Linked DNA regions of Mus musculus. The main gene of each other region encodes a partner of the protein of the gene in region 2 in a complex. Links are inferred from orthologs where the notes say so. Each region holds a gene or a part of one and is shown on either strand. Other genes may lie near its edges. The genes, in order: Polr2g and Ercc2.

Region 1 (9,881 bases), on a different chromosome or scaffold from region 2:
CTGAGCCCTCACCCACGACCTAGCAGCTACTAGGAGAGCTCCGCCTCTTCCCACCTCCGCTATCTTAATTGGCTCAAGCTTGCCCTCTCTTGTTGTGGATTGGCTCACTGTGAGCTACCCCGCCCCTCGATAACCGGCTTCTCCAAATGGGCAATCCCTGCCATTGCTCAGGCGTCGAGGCTCACAATTGGTTGTTGCTCCTGTCCTAAACTTTTCTTCCTCATCCCGCCTTCCCTCAGAGACCTCAGGATTGGCTGAACTTATTCATCTGTTTCCCATAGGGAAATTACCCGCCTGGGTGGGGCGAGGTTGGCAGTAACGCAGTGTATTCGGGAGTATACAGCCTGTTTCTGCTGCGGACTACCTAGAAGGAGAACTATAACAAAATGGTGTGATAACCTGTAGGCCCACGTCTAGACCAAGCTCTGCCGAAACAGTGGGCAGTAAGCCACACCTCCCAAAAGTGCAGTTCACTCTTGCAGATCTGGTCCTCGAAAATTACAGGATGCGCCACTAGTTCAGGCTCAGTAGTGGTGTTAGTAACTACCTCTAACTCTATGAAGATGATGGACTGTTCTCTAGGCAAGCCCTAGTAAGGACAGAAATGGGACAGAGTCTAAGGATATCTGTGTTGTTAAAATCTTTTCCCTGAGGGGGGCTGCGATCGGAATGTAAAGTCAATAAGTAGAGAAAACAAAACAAAACAAAAAACTCTTCTGTAAGGTCCCAATGATAAACCAAGGTACTATGCCACTAGTACCTTGGGCCCCTGAGAACTTATTGGCCTTTCTTACAGAGCCTAGGTGAGGGGTTACTTACAGGAGTGTGGGTGAGCCACTTCAGAAGTCCCTGGCTAAAGGGTTTACCCAGCATAATGTTCCTGTAGCCATATAGATGGAGCTCCCTCCCTAAGTCATTCTCCACCTATAGAATTCTGGGTATATATATATATATATATATATATATATATATATATATATATATATATATATATATATATATATATATATATGTATATCAATCAGGTAATATATGTAATATATATATTACACACACACCCAGCCCTGGAGATCCTGGGGTCATGTGCAATTAGGGAACTGGTTGAGGGAAGTGACTGGATACTCAAGTGAGGGTCTCATGACCCTCCACAGCCCCTCATCCTATAAGGGAAAGTCAACAGTCAGCAAGCACAGCTGAGGTGGTCTTCTGCCTGCAGACCCAGCTAAAGTTCTGAGGAGGATGGTAGTTTGCCTCCAAAGATAGTCCTGTTTGGTCCCATAATACACATGTGGTTGTGCATGTCCACAATATGTTCAGGAGGTAGAAGACAGAGCATCGGAACTTCAAGGCCAGCCGGAACAACAAACTTTCAGCACAGCCTGGACAGCATAAAACCCAAGTGTAGGTGATGTGCTCTTTTAATCCCAACACTTGGGAAATAGAGGCAGGCAGATCTCTGAGAGTTTAAAGTCAACCTGGTCAATATAGTGAGTTCTAGGCCACCAGAGCTGCACCATGAGTCCCTGGAAATAGTTCCACGAATGGAGTTTTGTTTATTTTTTCAATTGAGCTACTTCTTGTTTGCTTGAGAGGATTTCCACATGTAGCACAGGTTGTCTTGGAACTTAGAGTGCTCCTGCCAATGTCTCACCAGCAGGAGCTATAGGCAGGTCAATGGTGACCAGTATTGAAGAAACATTTCCCCCACCCTGTACCTTCTCCTTTTTTTTTTTCCTTTAAAATGACAAGCCCTCACTTAACACAGGCTGTCCTCATATTTGCTCTTGTATCCAAGGATGACCTAACACTCCTGAGCTTCTCTCTATTATCTGAGTCCTGATAATATCTTAGTATCTTAGTATCTTGTCTATATTGTCCAGAAATCAGCAGTTCAGTTTATTGGTTAGCAGCAGCAGCTGGATCCACTCGCAAACACTTCATGGATACACCAGCAGTCCAGTTTGGGAGAGTCAGGATAGCAAACATGAATCAGTAGCAGTGGAACGACCTAGCAGAGACAGCCAGGCCTCAGCCTTGGCACAAGTCAGCAGGTGGGACCAGGAGGAACACTACGAAAAGTTCTAGGCTGTGCCTCTCTCAGGGATGAGATAAGCAGACTTGAGACCTACAAGCATTGCATAGCTAGCTCTAGAAGCAAGCCTAGCTCAGCCTCTATCACCATCCACTGAGTCCTACTTATACTCTCTCCAAACATCACATGTTCTCCATGAGTCTTGACGCAGCACATGCGTCTGTCTTACCTGACATCACTCTGCCAATCAGCCCAAGTCCGAAGAAGCAGCAAGAAACTGCAGCACACCACCAAAAGTTTTTTGGTGCATTTCTCCCTATGGAGTCCTGACAAATTCAACTCAACTGTGCAATGGAAGGCAGGCCAATACATGCCAGTTTTTAGCAAAGAATCCTTTATCACGTGTCCTTTCATGTGCTTGCTTTAGCAGTACATCTCTCTCCTGTGTCTGCTTCAACTAAATGTTCCTTCATGAGTCTGCCTTACTCTTTCACCTGTGTCCACTTCAGGAAAACACTCCTTCACGTGTTAGCTCCAGCAAAATACCTTCCAACACAACTGACAAACCTTAAGCTTCCACTTTACCCAGGACTTCAAAAGAAAAGGCAAGAGAATTGTTAAAAGTTCAAGGCAAGCTTCCTCTACAAAACAAATTCCAGGCCGTCCATGGCTACATAATAAAACCCTGTCCCTCAAATAGAAAAGAAAGTAAGCCTAGTGCATGCCTGCAGACATAATCTTTTTGTTTGTTTGCTGTCTTTTTGGGGTTTTTTTGTTTTGTTTTGTTTTTTAAGACAGCCTTGTTTATGTGCCCCTGGCTGTCCTGGAACTCACTCTGTAGACCAGGCTGGCCTCAAACTCAGAAATTCACTTGTCTCTGCCTTCCAAGTGCTGGGATTAAAGGCGTGCGCCATCATGCCCAGCTAAGTGATTTCTTTTTAATTATGTGTACTTAATAATGTATGCTACCTATGTGTGAGTATGAGCCTATGAGTACTGGTACCTTCTGAGGCTACGAGAAGATTTCAGGTCCCCTTAGAGCTGGAGTTGTGAAATGCTAGTGTTAGTAACTGAACTCAGGTCCTCTTTGAGAGCTTTATTTTTATTTACATGTAAAAAAAAAAAAAACCGTTATTCTTATTTTATATGTGTGAGTGTTCTGGCTACAGCTATGTCTGTTCACCACAAGGGTGCTGTGTTCATGGAGGCCAGAGGGCACTGGATCCCCTGGGATTGAAGTATAGATAGAGAGTTGAGTCAGCATGCTTGTGCTGGGAATCAAACCTGGATCCTTTGGAAGAACAATCATATCCCCAGCTGCCTAGCCTTTCTTTTTATTTTACAAGCATGGGTGTTCTGCCTGTATGTGTGTTTGGGTACCACTCACATGCAGTGCTGAAGGAAGCCAGAAGAGGATGTCAGCTCTCCCTGAGCTGGAGTTACAAAGAAGAGTGTGAGCTACCCTGTGGGTGCTGGGAATTAAATCCTGGACCTCTGCAAGAGGAGCAAGTGCTCTTAAGGACTGAGCTATTTCTTCAGCCCCCAAATTAAATAATAATAATTTTTTGGTTTTTTTTAAATATGTGTAAATGTTTTACAGGGTTGTATACACAGCCCAGGTTACCCTGGAACTCACTTTGTAGCTGTGGCTTAGCCTTAAGTTTAGAGATCTGTTTGCCACGGCTGGGTTTAAGGGCATGTGGTAAAAGTCAGACCTAAAATAACTCACATTTTTTGGTTGGTTTTGGTTTTGGTTTTGGTTTTGGTTTTGGTTTTGGTTTTAGTTTTGGCTTTGGTTCTTCGAGGCCGGGTTTTTCTCTGTAATCCCGGCTGTCCTAGAATTTGCTTTAAGTAGGAGGGGAGTATGAACGGTGGTGGGCAGGCCTGAGGGGCGGGGCTTCATGTATCCCCGCCCATGACGTTAAGACTCAATCAGCGCTGCGGAAGCGACCGCAGAGAAGTGGTGGGACTTCTGCAAGTGCTTCCGGAGAGGTCTCTGCGTGGGAAGTTCTGGGCGCTGCGGGCCAAGCTTCTGCAGAAGATGTTTTATCACGTGAGCTGGATGCGGGGTAACTGTGAGGGGCAGTCACAGGAGGATCCTGGAGGCCCGGAAGGGCCGACAGGTCGCCTCCTGTCCTCAATGTGGCTGGCTGAGTCTCCATCTTCCTTTCTCTGCAGATTTCCCTGGAGCACGAGATCCTCCTGCACCCACGATACTTCGGTCCAAACTTGCTCAACACGGTGAAGCAGAAGCTGTTTACCGAGGTGGAGGGGACCTGCACTGGGAAGTGAGTTTCTGCTTCACAGAGAGGTCTGCTGAATGCACGCACAATGGCGCTAGTCTCTAACCTCTTCTTAACTCCTTCTGTCAGGGCTTGTCGCTTACTCTGAGGAACCCTTTCACCCCTCCAGGCACCTGAAGCAGCCAGTTTTTGCCTGTTTTAGACACTCTGAAAAGCTACTAAAGAAAATTTTCTTCCCTTATGTGAGATAAGACCGTTATTATGCAAATGTTTTTGAGTTTTGAGATGGCCTCACTATGTGGACCAAGCTGGGCTCTAATTCAGAGATCTGCCTGCCACTGAGTGCTGACATTAAAGGCTTTCATCACAATTCTCTGACTCGTTTGTGGTTTTTGAAAGACCTGTCTCAGCTTTGACCCTGGCAAGTCCTCCTGCCTTAGCCTACATGGTACTGAGAGAATAGGTGTATGTCAGCATATCTAGGCCTTCTTGGGCATTTACTGTACCATCATGAGAGCATCATTTAATATTTCATGTGCTAAGCTGGTCGGGGGTGGCGCATGCCTTTAATTCCAGCACTTGGGAGGCAGAGGCAGGTGGATTTCTGAGTTCAAGGCCAGCCTGGTCTAAAGAGTGAGTTCCAGGACAGCCAGCGCTACACAGAGAAACTCTGTCTCGAAAAAACATATATATGTGTGTGTGTGTGTGTGTGTGTGTGTATATATATATATATATATTTAGGTGCTAATCTGTGTCCTGTCTCTTCTTGATCAATGAACCATCTGAACAGAGGTTCTTTCACACAGAGACTCTTATTGCTGGTGGCTTTTCAGAGGCTCTTCACATAGCTGTCTTCTTTCATTTTTCATGCAGATATGGCTTTGTAATTGCTGTCACCACCATCGACAATATTGGTGCTGGTGTGATCCAGCCAGGCCGAGGTTTTGTTCTTTATCCAGTGAAATACAAAGCTATTGTTTTCCGGCCCTTTAAAGGTGAAGTGGTGGATGCTGTGGTCACTCAGGTCAACAAGGTAAGAGTATTATTCATAGAAAGGTTATGGGGTATTTCCTAAGGTGAGGGTTCAGTCCCTAGTCCACTTACTAGTTGCCTTAAGTCTTTTGTTGTTGTTAAGATTCATTTTATCTTAGTTTTTTGGTTTTTCTTTTCTGGTTTTAGGGTTTTCTTTTTTCTTTTCTTTTCTTTTCTTTTCTTTTTTTTTTTTTTTTTTTTTTTTTTTTGAGACAGGGTTTCTCTGTGTAGCCCTGGCTCTCCTGGAACTCACTCTGTAGACCAGGCTGGCCTCGAACTCAGAAATCCACCTGCCTCTGCCTCTCAAGTTAAAGGCATGTGCCACCACTACCCAGCAGGTTTTTTGTTTGTTTGTTTGGTTGGTTGGTTGGTTGGTTTGATTTTTTGTTTGTTTGTTTGTTTTTGTTTTTAGAGACAGGGTTTCTCTGTGTAGTCCTGGCTGTCAGTTTTGTACTTTTGTTTTTGAGGCAGGGATTCACTGTGTAGCCCTGGCTGTCCTGGAACTTACCCCATAGACCAAACTAGCCTTAAACTCAGACATCCACTTACCTCTGCCTCCTGAGTGCTGGGATTAAAGACACGAGCCACCACCACCCAGCAATTTATTTTAATTTTAACTATGTGTACTTGTATGTTATCTGGGGTGAGTGCAAGCCCATGAGTGCTGGTACCTTCTGAAGCTTCAAGAGGGTTTCAGGTCCCCTCCTACCTGGAGTTGTGAGACCCTGGATATGGATGCTAGGAATTGAACTCAGGTCCTCTGCAAGCACGGTTATGCACTCTTAATTATTTAGCCATCTCTTCAGTCCCTTAGGTCACTTTTTGGTTCTTCACTTTCCTTAACTGTCTTTCCATCTAACTTAGCTGGGGGTGTCTTCTGAATTACAGAAGTAGTCGTGCTACAATAGAAATCTGCATTGACTGAGTCGTTACTGTTGACTGATAGTATGCAAACTACCCCCTGACTCTTTTTTTTTTAAGGGTTTTTTTTTTTTTAAAAGATTTATTTATTTACTATATGTAAGTACACTGTAGCTGTCTTCAGACACTCCAGAAGAGTGAGTCAGATCTCGTTATGGATGGTTGTGAGCCACCACATGGTTGCTGGGATTTGAACTCAGGACTTTTAGAAGAGCAGTCGGGTGCTCTTACCCACTGAGCCATCTCACCAGCTGCCCCCTGACTCTTTCTTTCTCCACTCTCCTCTCCAGACCTGAAGATCAAACCCAGGGTCGTACAATTCAGCTAAATTTCCAAGCCCAGGCCTTTCTTCGTTTATTTGTTTGCTTTTGTTTTTTTGAAACAGGGTCTCACTATGTAGCCAAGGCTGGCCTTGAACTCACTTTGTAGCTCTGGCTAACTTTTTTTTTTTTTTTTTTTTTTTTTTTTTTTTTTATTATATGTAAGTACACTGTAGCTGTCTTCAGACATTCCAGAAGAGGGAGTCAGATCTCATTATGGATGGTTGTGAGCCACCATGTGGTTGCTGGGATTTGAACTCCTGACCTTCGGAAGAGCAGTCGGGTGCTCTTACCCACTGAGCCATCTCACCAGCCCTCTGGCTAACTTTAAACACACAGATTTGCCTGCCTCTGCCTCCTAAGTGATAGGATTAAACGCTTTGCCACCTTGACTGGCTGTATGGATGTTTTGTCTTGTCTGCATGCATGTTTCTTTTGTTTTGTTTTGTTTTTTTGAGACAGGGTTTCTCTGTGTAGCCCTGGCTGTCCTGGAACTCACTCTGTAGACCAGGCTGGCCTTGAACCCCTGCATGCATGTTTGTGTACCACATGTGTGCTTGGTGCCCAGAAGACGGGTGTTGGATCTCCTAGAACAGGAATTAACAGAAGGTTGTAAACTGCCTTGCAGGTTCTGGGAACCAAACCTGATTCCTTTGGAAGAGCAACTAGTTTTCTCAACTAGAATGGCATGTTCTTGCTCTCCCCCCAGCTCTTTTTAAAATAAAAATCTTTTAAAAATAAAAATCACCACAATCTCTGAAGTGAGAACGCCTGGTATAGTGTGTCAGGCCTGTGATTCTTGCACTTGGGAAGCTGAAGTAGGACTGATGTAAGTTTTAAGCTGTCATGGGCTATAGAGTGAAATTCTGCCTCAAACAAAAAAATAAGGATCTGGGCTCTTATTTGGTGGGTAAAATGTTTCCTGTGCAAGCATCAAAACCTGAGTTCTGTTCCCCAACACCTTTGTAAAATCCAGGCTTAGTAGTATGAACCTGTAATCCTTTCTACTTAGAAGGATGAGTCGGATCCCAAGTTCAAGGCCTGCAAGGTTAGGTGGTGTAATTTAGTGAATTTAAAAGCTACGGGTTATAGCTCAGTGGTTTAGAACACCTGTTGGTACTGTAGGACCTGGGTTTGACTCCCAGCACCCACATAGCGGCTCACAATCCCAGCACCTACACAGGGGCTCACAATCTCTGTATCTCCTAGTTCTGCAGGATCCCAACACCCTCTTCTGGCTTCCATGGGCACTGCATGTACATGGCACACAGGTACATGTGAGGACAGAATACTCTCACATGTAAAAATAATGAAGAACAAAAATGTAAAGAAATGAAAGACTACAGAGAGAGAAATGAAAACAAATGCTACAATTTAGACTGTTACAAAACACGAATAATATGATTAGGAATCAGATAAAAATGCTCCAAAGCCTTTGAAGCAAGATCATCCATTTTCCTTTTAGGTTGGACTTTTCACAGAAATTGGGCCTATGTCTTGCTTCATCTCTCGACATGTAAGTCTGGGCATCCTGGGTGGAGCCAAGGAAAAGAAACCAGTCGGTCCATAGCTATCATCTATTGATGCAGCTGTTTGAAGTGCTAACCTTTGTGTCAATTTCCTTCTAGTCCATCCCTTCAGAGATGGAGTTTGATCCAAATTCAAACCCCCCTTGCTATAAGACCATGGACGAGGTGAGCGAGTGTGGAGGAGTGGTGAGAGGGATGAGGAAAGCAACACTGAGACTGGGCCTGAGTCTGCTTGACCACTGTTCTCTCCTTTCCATAGGACATTGTGATTCAGCAGGACGATGAGATACGCTTGAAGATTGTAGGCACGCGTGTAGACAAGAATGACATTGTGAGTCTCTTGCTTGACTTCTTTTCTTGCCTGTAGCCCAGGCTGGCCTGCAACTCATGAACCTCCTGCCTCTGCCTCCTAAATAGTAGGATTATAAGTAGGCCAGGATCACCATTTGCAGCTGAGAGCTATGGCGTTCTCTTTTCTTTTTTAGAACATCACTATTTTCGTATTTTATAAAATTGTATTATTTATGTGGATGTGTGCTGCGCATACCCACTGGCCACAGTGTGATATTTAGACAGCTTTCAAGTTCTTTGTGCTGCTATGGATTTGGAAGTAGAAGTCAGGTCATCGGGGTTGTGTAGCAAGCTCTTTCACCACCTGCACTGTGTTACTGACCGAAGATCTGCTAACCTTTTGCCACCCACAGTTGTTGAGGGTTCTGGGCTCTTTTTTCCTGAGGAGGGAATGGATGACAGAAGGCTTGGGATTGGGGTGGGCTGCCTCATCTCCCTCCCTCTCCTTCCTCCTAGTTTGCCATTGGCTCTCTGATGGACGACTACTTGGGTGAGTGCCTGACATGGCTGCTGGGACCTGGGACCGTTCCCTGAGGAAGGGTGTGCAGGAGAGGGGATGGTGGAGGGCTTAATGTTCCTCCCAGAGACATAAGAGGTTCTCATTCTGTTTCCTAGAAGTCCATGATACCTGTCCTTGGGGTGGGAAATCCTTGGCTTTTGGCTGCCGGGGAACTCGGTGTCTGACTGATGCGTTCTTTCCTGATCTCATAGGGCTCGTGAGCTGAGTGAGGGAGCGTCCAGCTTGGTTGGATCCTGATTTAGGAAGTGTGGCTTTCCGACTTGAGTTCAGCACCAACTTAACTTTCCTACCGGAGGTTCAATCTGGCCACTGTTAGGGAGGCAAGAAAGGCTCCTTGTCCTCAGCTGTTTCTTCCAGCTGAGCTGTGCCCTGAGACTTTATTCTGTGCTCTAACCATAAACATGTTGTCCTTGTTTCTCATGGAAATGTTGTCTTCTCTTGGTAGAAATTAAAGCTGTTATTTATTCTATTTTTGGTTTGGTTTTATGTTTTTTTTTTTTAAGATTTATTTATTGGGCTGGAGTGATGGCTCAGAGGTTAAGATCATTGACTGCTCTTCCAGAGGTCCTGAGTTCAATTCCCAGCACCCACATGGTGGCTCACAATCATCTATAATGAGGTTTGGTGCCCTCTTCTGGCATGCAGGCAAATATTCAGGCAGAACACTGCACATAATTAATAAATAATCTTTAAAAACAGATGTATTGCCGGGCGTGGTGGCGCACGCCTTTAATCCCAGCACTTGGGAGGCAGAGGCAGGTGGATTTCTGAGTTCGAGGCCAGCCTGGTCTACAGAGTGAGTTCCAGGACAGCCAGGACTACACAGAGAAACCCTGTCTTGAAAAAAACCAAAAAACAAAAAAAAGCAAAAAAAACAGATGTATTTATTTTATGTATGGGTATACTATAGCTGTCTTTAGACACATCAGACTA
Region 2 (9,961 bases):
ATTCTAGGCAGGGCTCTACCACTGAGCCTCACCCCCAGCCCCTCACTGGGGGATTCTAGGCAGGGGCTCTACCACTGAGCCACGCCCCCAGCCCCTCACTGGGGGATTCTAGGCAGGGCTCTACCACTGAGCCTCACCCCCAGCCCCTCACTGGGGGATTCTAGGCAGGGGCTCTACCACTGAGCCTCACCCCCAGCCCCTCACTGGGGGATTCTAGGCAGGGGCTCTACCCCTGAGCCACGCCCCCAGCCCCTCACTGGGGGATTCTAGGCAGTGGCTCTACCACTGAGCCACGCCCCCAGCCCCTCACTGGGGGATTCTAGGCAGGGGCTCAACACTGAGCCACGCCCCCAGCCCCTCACTGGGGGATTCTAGGCAGGGGCTCTACCACTGAGCCACACCCCAGCCCCTCACTGGGGGATTCTAGGCAGGGGCTCTCCCACTGAGCCACGCCCCTGTTCTTCACAGATGGATTTTAGGCAGCTGCTGACCTACATAGTTGGGATAGGAATTAACCCTATGCATAATTTAGGTGAAGTTAGGGATTTCTGGGAAACTCTTAATTATCAGAGCCACATAGTAGGGTGTGTTGAGGATTTGGGGGAACCTGTGTAGAATGTGGCTTGATGTAAAACCTGGACTGGGACTGGGATGAATCCACTCCTACTCAGGGTCCCAATGCTTCGCAGGTGCTGCTGGCCCTGTCCGCACACGTGAGTGTGTTGGAGGCTGAGAAGCAGAGGCTACGGGCACAGGCACGGAGGCTAGCCCAAGAGAACACATGGCTTCGAGAGGAGCTGGAGGAGACACAGAGGCGACTGCGGGCCAGCGAGGAGGCTGTGGCCCAGCTGGAAGAGGAGAAGAGCCACCTCCAGTTCCTGGGGCAGCTGAGGCAGTATGACCCGCCCGAGGAGAGCCAGGTAGCAGGGGCAGGGTTAGAAGGGAATGCACAGTCCTCTACAGAGCTCCTGGGTGCCTGCAGGAGCTCTTAGTACAGCCCTTCAAGTACAAATGGAGTCCCTCAATCCCCACACCTAATTGAGCCCCCAAAGTACCTTGAATGCTCCTTAGAGCATTCTTCCCCCAGCCCACTGAAACCTCTAAGGCTCTCACCCCACACCTCTGTCAAACTCAGAGCTACTGTGGCTGAGGATGAAGGATGCTGTGAGTTCTAGGCCAGCCTGGGCCACGTAGTGAGACTCTTACCTCAGAAATATACCAGTCCCTGAAGCCAGGCATGGTGGCGTGCCTTTAAGCCCAGCACCGTGAAGGCAGAGGCATGCTAGCCTAGTCTACATGGTGAGCCAGCCCCTGCCCTGAACAACAGAGAGCTACACAGGCAGGCCCGATGTAGCTCCAGGGCCTCGGCCTGACACTTGACTTTCTCAGAACTCTTTCCTGTTTTCCACAGAGGCCCGAGTCCCCCCCTCGCCGAGACAGCTTGGCATCTCTGTTCCCCAGTGAAGAGGAGGAAAAGAAAGGTGGGTGTGTGGGAGCCCTGGGCACGATATCAGAGGGTAACCACCCAGGACTACAGGTTAAGCCTGGGACAGGAACCTTGCCCTGAGGGACACCGAGGCCTCTGAGGAGGGGAAGAAGCAGGTGGCCCTGGCTAGTAGGGACATTGGAAGCTGGAAGACAGTCACGTTAGGTTCTGGCACCTAACATGCCACCGGCTGGTTAGATTTCTGAAATCCCTGTGTCCTGTCACCACATGACCGTACTCTAAGAGGTGGCTGTTGGGACCAGGCTGAGGCCCACTGTGGGTGACTCCACACTACCTCCCCTAGGTCCTGAGGCAGCAGGAGCAGCAGCCGCGCAGCAGGGTGGCTATGAGATCCCAGCTCGTCTGCGGACCCTGCACAACCTGGTGATCCAGTATGCTGGCCAGGGCCGCTATGAGGTGGCAGTTCCCCTATGTCGCCAGGCTCTGGAGGACCTGGAGCGGAGCTCGGGCCACTGCCATCCTGACGTGGCCACCATGCTCAACATCCTGGCACTCGTGTACAGGTGAGGGCCCAGGCTGATCGGGCTGGGGTTCCGCCTGGGATAGTGGGAGGGGGGGTGGCACTGTGATCCCCTGACAAGGTAAATTGCCTGGGGTGGGAACAGAATGAGAGGGGAACAGAGACCTAGAGAGGCGGTGAGAGCGAGTCTAGAGTTTGGGCACCAGAGAAGGCAAGGTACATGAGACAGGATGCTTGGCAGGGCTGGCAGTGTGGGGACCCCTAGGATGCTGGCCATTCCTGACTCAGTCTAAGCTCAGCCTTCCATCCCTGCCCTGCAGGGACCAGAACAAATACAAGGAAGCTACGGAGCTTCTTCACGACGCCCTGCAGATCCGGGAACAGACGCTGGGTCCTGAACACCCTGCAGTGAGCAGCAGTTCAGGGAGGGAGGGAGGGAGGGAGGGAAGATGGACTGGGGAGGGTGGGCTGCAGGAACCGCCTCCTCCTCCTCCTCCTCCTCCTCCGCCACCACCAACTGTCTTCCTGCAGGTGGCTGCCACCCTCAACAACCTGGCTGTCCTCTATGGAAAACGTGGACGTTACCGGGAGGCAGAACCCCTCTGCCAGCGTGCTCTGGAGATCCGTGAGAAGGTGCTGTACCCGGCCCCTTTCCCCATCACTGGTACCTCAAGCCATCTGGTGTACCTTATTTGAGTTTGCCTTATTTGAGCCTGCAGCACCCTTGTGGCCTTGATGAACTTACAGTCCAAGTCCAATCCTGCTTTGATCTCCTGAACCCTTATGATTGGCTGGACTCAGCACCCCGTGACCTCTGACCTCACTAATTCCTACACCCCATTAACTTCCACTTTGTTCCTGTCTTCCCAGCCTGGGACCCTAGAATGACAGTGGCATCTCATGGACCACCTTATGTGACAGATGGGTTGTGTGTACCCTAGGTCCTGGGTGCAGACCACCCTGATGTGGCCAAGCAGCTCAACAACCTGGCCCTACTGTGCCAGAACCAGGGCAAGTTTCAGGACGTGGAGCGGCACTATGCGCGGGCCCTGAGCATCTACGAGGCCCTGGGCGGGCCACAGGACCCAAATGTGGCCAAGACTAAGAACAACCTGGTAAGGCATGCCAGGTCTGTCCTGTCCTGGGGACACTGTAGGGAGGAGAGAGACTGAAGGATCTTACAGCCCCTTCAGTACAAAAATATCAGAAGCAAACCCCAGTTCACAAAGTCCTATCAGATTTTATTGTGTCATGGTGGGTGACCCCGAACATTTCACCCACTGAGGTAGGAGACTGGCACAGAGATGCAGGACCCAGTGGCAGGTAGCCTGGTCTCCTGCGCGGGTGGCTCTGCACTGCAGTAAGCTGAGGCAGGATGCTGGGGAAGGCGGGCAGGTCTGAGACGTTCCCAGGCCTAAACAAGATGTCCACACCCTACCCCTGCCCTCCCTCCCCGCAGGCCTCAGCCTACCTGAAACAGAACAAGTATCAGCAGGCAGAGGAGCTATACAAGGAGATCCTCAGCCAGGAGGCCCTGCCCGCCCCACTTGGTGAGCCCACCCCTGCACCTTCCTGCACCCCCTCCTGCATGGTGGCATTCCTCACACCTGCCTCCATGTCCCTTCTGTCCCACAGGAGCCCCCCAGGGAGGCACAGCAGGCGATACACAGCAGCAGGTAAGCAGGCTCCACCTCAGGTCCTTGTTGGGCCCCCACCATGTCCCCACACATCACTGTGCCCTCCCCAGGTCCTGCGCAGGAGCAGTTCCTTCTCTAAGCTCCGGGAATCCATCAGGCGAGGAAGCGAGAAGCTGGTCTCCCGCCTCCGAGGAGAGGGCATGGCAGGGGCTGCCGGGTGAGTGCCGGGAGAGGTCAGCAGTCTGTCAGGAACCATCCGTGACATCAGTCAGAGCCAGGGATCTGCAGTCTTCCCTGTCTCACTCCTGTCTTTTTGGGCTCCTCTTCAGGATGAAGAGAGCCATGTCACTCAATATGCTGAACGTGGATGGTCCCAGGGCTGCCCGGACGCAGGTGAGGAGTCAGTGATGGAGTGGGGTGCTGCTGGCAGGCTCAGCAAGCCAGGAAAGGTGGGGCCGCCTCCTGGGGACTCAAGGTAGGGAGGAGCTGGTGGGCAGGGCATGAAGTGGCTCCAATGTCAACTGGAAAAGAACTCTAACCATTCCTGTGCTCTCAGCTCTCCCAGCTCTCAACCCGGCACCTGAGTGAGGCCCCTCGGACCCTGAGCATCAGCACACAAGATCTGAGCCCGCGCTAAGTGGACTGGCTGCAGAGGCCACAGCTTCTCAAGGATCAGGAAGGGTGGGTGGTCACCCTGCACCCTGCCTGGGCAGCTCTTGTAGATCGCTCCCTGCAATTAAAGGCGGTGCACTGGTACTGGGTGTTTGCCGAGGGCCCTGGGACCTTCCAGCACCTCCCAGGAGCCACAGGCGGTCACCCCACAGCCCCGCTGTTCAGAGCTGCTGTGCGATCTGCTCAATTCGCTGTAGTGTCTCCTCTGACTGCAGCTGCTCCAGGCTGAGCAGCGACAGGCCCAGCTGATCCTCCTGGAGGGAACAGAGGTAAAGGGCAGGAGTCAGCTCACACGGGCACGCGATGAGAGAGTGCAGTGGCTGGAGTTCACTCCTGTCCTTTCGCCGGAATACGGGGCCAGAGACGACTAGGAAGCATGTGCACACCTGGTGGAGAGAGAAGCCGTGCGGGGCCCAGGCTTACCCGGTGGAAGGGCTGCGCCATCTGCCGCAGGAAGTACTTGGCGACCTGTACACCCTCATCCACGGTCAGGTTGAGGTTGGAGTCGGTCAGGTGCTCCTGGATCCAGCGAGGCAGCTTACCACGCTTGTCCGCCCGAGCAAACCGCTGAGGAGGGAGGGGAAGGACATTAGAGCCCAGGTTGGAGCCCAGGCTGCCCACTACCCTGTACCCTGGGAGGAAGTCGGGCTACCTGGACTGGGGTGCCCAAGAGCCCTGAGCCCCACCTTGTCAGCAAAGACCATGAGTCCATAGTCCGTCTTGCCCCTGATGGCACGACCCACACACTGGGCTGCATGGCGCATAGCATCAAAGGTGAGGAAGTCGTTCTCTCGGATCTGGAACTGGTCCCGCAGATACTCTAGCCGGGCCTGGGGGATGAGGAGGCTGAGGCGGAGGGCCTGCCCTTCCCCCACACCCCCTGACAGCACTGTTTCCCCACTCACCTTGAGAATTCGGCTCTGGGTATAGACATAGGGAACTCCAAACATGATCACAGCCCGTCCGTAGTGGTGTACTGGGGACAGGAGAGCAGGATTACAGTGCATGCTGGGGCTAAGGTCACCCCAGGGCCTGGAAAGGGGACAGATCCCGTGTGGTAGGATGGGCAGGAACCTGAGCTAAGAGTCAGGTCTACTCACCAAAGTCAATCCCTTCTGATACTTTGCCCCGAGCCACTGAGAGCAGAATGGCCCCACGGCCATTCTCGCATGCCTGGGGTGGGGAGGTGGAAGTCGTCACTCGTCAGCCCTCTCCCACTCACCCGTTGGCTGCTGGCATTTCTCTGCCTGTCCCAGGCACCCACCTCTTGGTACTTCTCCAGGGCCACACTGGTCTCAGCCCCATCCTGGGTCTCAATGAAGAGCAGTTTGTTCCTCTGGATGTTCTCAAGGATGCCCTGGGGGTGACAGGGAGGTCAGAGTTCAGACCACACAGAGTCAAGCACTGCCATGGCCTCCCATGAAAACCCTCCTCTAGGCCCCTAGCTGTCCAACCTCACTGGCAGTCCAAAGTGGGGAGCCAACCACCACCCACAGTGGGCACGGGGCCCCAGAGTGGCTTGTGACTGGTGGAGGGTCTGACCATAACCACGGCAGGACCAAGCAGGTTGTCCTCAGATCAGATAGGTCTGTCACTGCAGTGGTGAGGGAGGGGCAGCCCACCAGGACAGACGTGGGGACCAGAGGCGCCAGGCAGCGTTACCTGTGCAGCCCAGTGAGCAAACTCTACCAAAGATGCTAAGTCTGGGAGGTTTTTGTTTTTTGTTTTTTTTTTGGTTTTTCGAGACAGGGTTTCTCTGTGTAACCCTGGCTGTCCTGGAACTCACTCTGTAGACCAGGCTGGCCTTAAACTCAGAAATCCGCCTGCCTCTGCCTCTCGAGTGCTGGGATTAAAGGCGTGTGCCACCACGCCCGGCTTTTTTTTTTTGGAAGTCTGGGAGTTTTACTTGGATAAAATGAACTCTAGCCTTATCTCACCTAGTCCAAATGAGTCTCTGGTGTCTCTGCAGACAGACTCTGGCCTCAACAGTCAGGCAGACAGGCAGATGTCTGTTTTTAGTACTAGAGATCGACTGTGGTAATGGCCTGTATGTGTTATATGCTAGCTCTACCACTTAATTAAACCTACAGCCCCTCTCTGTGAGTTCAGACTAGGCACCCTGCCTGAGACACACCCACAGTCTACAATGCCTGTTCAAACATAGGCCTCAAAGCTGGGCTCAGCAGTCATAAGACATGGCACCCCCATGCGGAACCAAAGCCCCAAAGCTCCATCCAACCACACAGGTATGAGAGCTCCTGGAGCCGAAGTTCTGGTCCAGCCTAACTCTCCAGAATTTGTACAGCCTATCACCAAGCCTGCTTGCTGGGGATGTAGTCTGCAGTAACCCCAAGAGCAACGCAGCACACAAACCCCAAAAGTAGGGTAGTCTCCTGTGGTGGGGACGGGTTAAGGGTGCTTAACTGCCCTGCCCTGTGACACATGTCACCAGTAGAAAGAGGGAGTGAAGTCATATATATCTAGGAAGAGCAGAGCTGAGGGTGTGGTGCCAGGCGTACCTGCTCATACCAGGAGGCCACGGTGCTTTCCATGTACTGGTAGCTGGTAAAGAAGGCCACAATGCCATCTGGGACCACGGCGGACATCTCCAGCAGGAGGTTGCCATAGTTTCGGATCACAGCTAGAAGAGTAGGTTAAAGAGTGGATCCTCTCCTGGCTCCCATTGAGACCACCTAACCATATCCCAAACGCATTCTCCCAAGCACAGTAGAGGGCTGTCTCCCATTCCCTGAGGATATATAACTTGTGACAGCAAAAGAGACATGTAGAAGTGGTTGTTTCTTCCATGTGACACTCAGGAGCCAGTGCCCAAAGTTCCAGGGGCCAGTGCTTAGGCTCAATAGTGCACCTGTTAGTGCAGACCTCCAAGTGAAGAAACCTAAGGCACTGAGGATGGGAACCCCCCCTGTGCTAGCATAGAGGCTGGGATAATGCTATGGCAGCAGGTCCTAGGCCACCTGAGACCCACCCCAACCAAGCCTACAGGTGACTCACCAATATCTTCTCTGGTCTCAAATTTGGAGCTGATTGCTACCTGGTCATTACCACGGCCAATGATCTGGAAGAATCAGGTTAAAGGCCTTGAGATGATGTCTCATGTAGCCCAGGCTGGCCTTCAGACTAGGAGCCTTCCCAAGGCTCTCTTTCCCCCTAAACCCATGAGAAGGCTCTTCTCCAGCCTCCTGAAATTCTGTGTAGCCAAGGTGACCCTGGTTCTCCTGCCCACCTCTGCAGTTGAGATCACAGGCCTGCGCCCAAGTGCCCGGCATGCTAGGCAAGTGCTGGAGCAAACAAGGCCCGAGTTCAGGTAAGCCTTATGCAGACAACAGATTAGATGGCCCAAGCCTATGGCTGGCACTGCTTGGGCAAGTGCTTGGAGCTCAACCATGAGCCACCTGCCCACAGTCACAGAGTAACAAGCCCCAGGGAAGGGCCCTCTGTGCTTCTAGGCAGGACTATACCAGCCCTGGGCAGTTCCAGACATAGGTCACCCACAGCACACATCCCATTAGCTACCCTCCCCAGTCCACCATGCCAGTGAGTGGTCAGAGAGACTGATCCAAAAACCCCACAGCTCTGAACCCATCTGTCTAACCCCTGCTGCAAAGCCACTGCCCTCTTCAAAGTCCATGCTCTGTGAGCATGCTGTCCGGTTACAGCCCCCTCCCCCGACAGTAAGGTTAAAGGGTTTCTGATTGTGTGCCGGGCAGTATCCCAGCCACCCTTGGCTGCTTGTGGCCCATGGCCCATGGGTTGAACATGCCTAGCTGCAGGGTTCTGAACTGCAAAGCAGAGACCATGAGGCTGAGAGGACAGCTCTGCCCCAGGTTTCAGAGGGAGGCTCATTACTCAAGACACAGCTGGGTGACAAATGACAAAGCCATCAGCACGATGATGCCAGCCACCACCTGCCCAGGCCTGCGTCGCACCAGCGTACACTGTGTGCATGTGTCTATGTGCCATAGCCCAGTGGCGGCGTACACTTGGTAACTTGGTGCACCCACCAGGCCTGAGCCTCAGCTGAGTAACCGGCTGCCTAGGTCGAAGCCAGGAGGCAGGCGGCTCCCCGGTCTCACCCACTCACCATCGGGCAGAGGCAGACTCGGGCCAGCGTCATGGTGAAGGTTGCCATTGTGACAGGGTGGAAGTCCAGGATCTTGGGGTAGATGTCCAGTGGGGACAGTGTCTGTAACGGAGACAGCAAGGGAGACCTCAGCAGGCTGGCCGGAGACCAGGAGCCCGATGAAGGAGCAGCAGAGTCCTCACCCCAGAAGTGATGATGACAGACTGGAAGCGCTCAAACACAGGCTTGATGGCCAAGGAGGCGTCCATACAGCTGCGGGACAACACGGGGGTCACACGGGGCAGAGGGCGGGGCCTGTCCCATCCACACAGGGTTGCATCTCACCTGAAGTGCAGAACGGGGTTGGCGATGGTGGGGGTCCTGTCGTCAAAGGGCTCAATGATAATGGTGAAGCCTGGTGGAGGGAGAGGCCGGGGAGTCTCAGTCACTCATCACCCCGGGACAGAACTGCCCCAGCCTGCCCACTTCTGCAAACCCTCAGGTGCAGAAGCAGTGAGCTGTGGCTTCATACATGGTCCCGCAGGTAGCCAAGCCCGCCATTCCCCAGGCACCTCTGTCCTCCAGGCTCTCACTCCTGTCCCCGCAGAGCAACCAGAGACATGTCATGGAACCCCAAGTTTGCCAGTTTCCACACTTCCCATGACCCCAGAAGGGTGTCATGCACTCTCCCAGGCTGAAGAGCAAGATTTGCCTGCTTTCCTCCCTCCCATTCCTCACCGTGCCTCTCTGCCACCAACACAGGCTAAGTAGAGGCAGGGAAGAGGGCCGCTCCTGAGGGAAGCAGCAATGGCTTTGGCAGTAAGAGGCTGGTAACCAGGTGGACCTGGCCTTGGGTGCCTTCCTGACTGGCTTTTTTTGTTGTTGTTGTTGGTTTTTTTCTGTTGCCAGCACAGGGTACCATGACTGGGATAACACTTCACAACCAAGGACAAGAAAAACAAGGATAGTTCATATTCCAGAGTCCCACTGTGAGACACCTGAGGGCCCCCTTGCCCTGAGCTGCTGTGCCAGCTTCCACTTGGCTGAATCCCTGCCCCAGAGGACAGTGCCATGGCTCCTTGCAGCACCGCTCCACTTCCCAGGGTCACCTGGAACCATCTTTGCTCCTCATTCTCCCCCAGGCTGTGACTCCGGGAAGGGGAGGATGAGGCTGTTTCAGTAGTGCTGGGCCTGGCCCCATTTGCTAACTGAACAAATGAATACATTCATGGGTTCTGTTTCACTTGGCAAAAATGATCGGGTCTTACGTGTCCAGCCCTTGCCAAGGACACAGCAGTGACCAACACAGCCTCAGTCCCACCCATAAGAGCTCCCTTGTACTAGGGGAGACAGCTATCCAGAGAGTAATGATCCCAGGCGCAGCTGGAATAGAGAAGGGGCAGGCCTCGCATAGGGTGGGCTGGGTGCCTTTCTGAAAGCTGAAGGACTCAGGCAGGTGATAGGAGGCGTAGACAAGGAGGCTTCTACCGATTGTGATGTTGTAGGTGGGGGAGGAGGAAGAGACAAAGGCCAAAGAAAGGGGCATGGTGAGTGCTGAAAGCTTAAGGAAGCAGGCAGCTGCCAACAGCCTGCAGTGGGGC

What was found.
Region 1: Ercc2 (region 2) and Polr2g share a complex: the UniProt entries of both Homo sapiens proteins name them as parts of the TBP-based Pol II pre-initiation complex. The link is inferred for Mus musculus from reciprocal best matches to the Homo sapiens genes ERCC2 and POLR2G.

The regions. Positions count from the first base shown.
Region 1 is NC_000085.6:8,792,663-8,802,543, reverse strand, and holds Polr2g (DNA-directed RNA polymerase II subunit RPB7), read left to right. Parts: upstream 1-3,986; 5' UTR 3,987-4,073; coding exon 4,074-4,085; intron 4,086-4,210; coding exon 4,211-4,320; intron 4,321-5,148; coding exon 5,149-5,308; intron 5,309-8,013; coding exon 8,014-8,064; intron 8,065-8,176; coding exon 8,177-8,242; intron 8,243-8,336; coding exon 8,337-8,408; intron 8,409-8,884; coding exon 8,885-8,918; intron 8,919-9,139; coding exon 9,140-9,153; 3' UTR 9,154-9,415; downstream 9,416-9,881. UniProt on the Homo sapiens protein: Core component of RNA polymerase II (Pol II), a DNA-dependent RNA polymerase which synthesizes mRNA precursors and many functional non-coding RNAs using the four ribonucleoside triphosphates as substrates.
Region 2 is NC_000073.6:19,388,921-19,398,881, reverse strand, and holds the end of Ercc2 (general transcription and DNA repair factor IIH helicase subunit XPD), read right to left. Parts: intron 8,776-9,961; coding exon 8,706-8,775; intron 8,634-8,705; coding exon 8,564-8,633; intron 8,484-8,563; coding exon 8,382-8,483; intron 7,356-8,381; coding exon 7,292-7,355; intron 6,918-7,291; coding exon 6,796-6,917; intron 5,634-6,795; coding exon 5,541-5,633; intron 5,450-5,540; coding exon 5,377-5,449; intron 5,253-5,376; coding exon 5,182-5,252; intron 5,107-5,181; coding exon 4,963-5,106; intron 4,844-4,962; coding exon 4,700-4,843; intron 4,531-4,699; coding exon 4,438-4,530; 3' UTR 4,242-4,437; coding exon of another isoform or gene 4,161-4,241; 3' UTR 3,998-4,160; coding exon of another isoform or gene 3,427-3,997; 3' UTR 3,188-3,426; downstream 1-3,187. Other genes in the region: Klc3 (kinesin light chain 3), read left to right, coding at 690-920, 1,412-1,481, 1,791-2,010, 2,288-2,375, 2,499-2,600, 2,909-3,082, 3,427-3,517, 3,603-3,997 and 1 more. UniProt on the Homo sapiens protein: ATP-dependent 5'-3' DNA helicase. Component of the general transcription and DNA repair factor IIH (TFIIH) core complex, not absolutely essential for minimal transcription in vitro.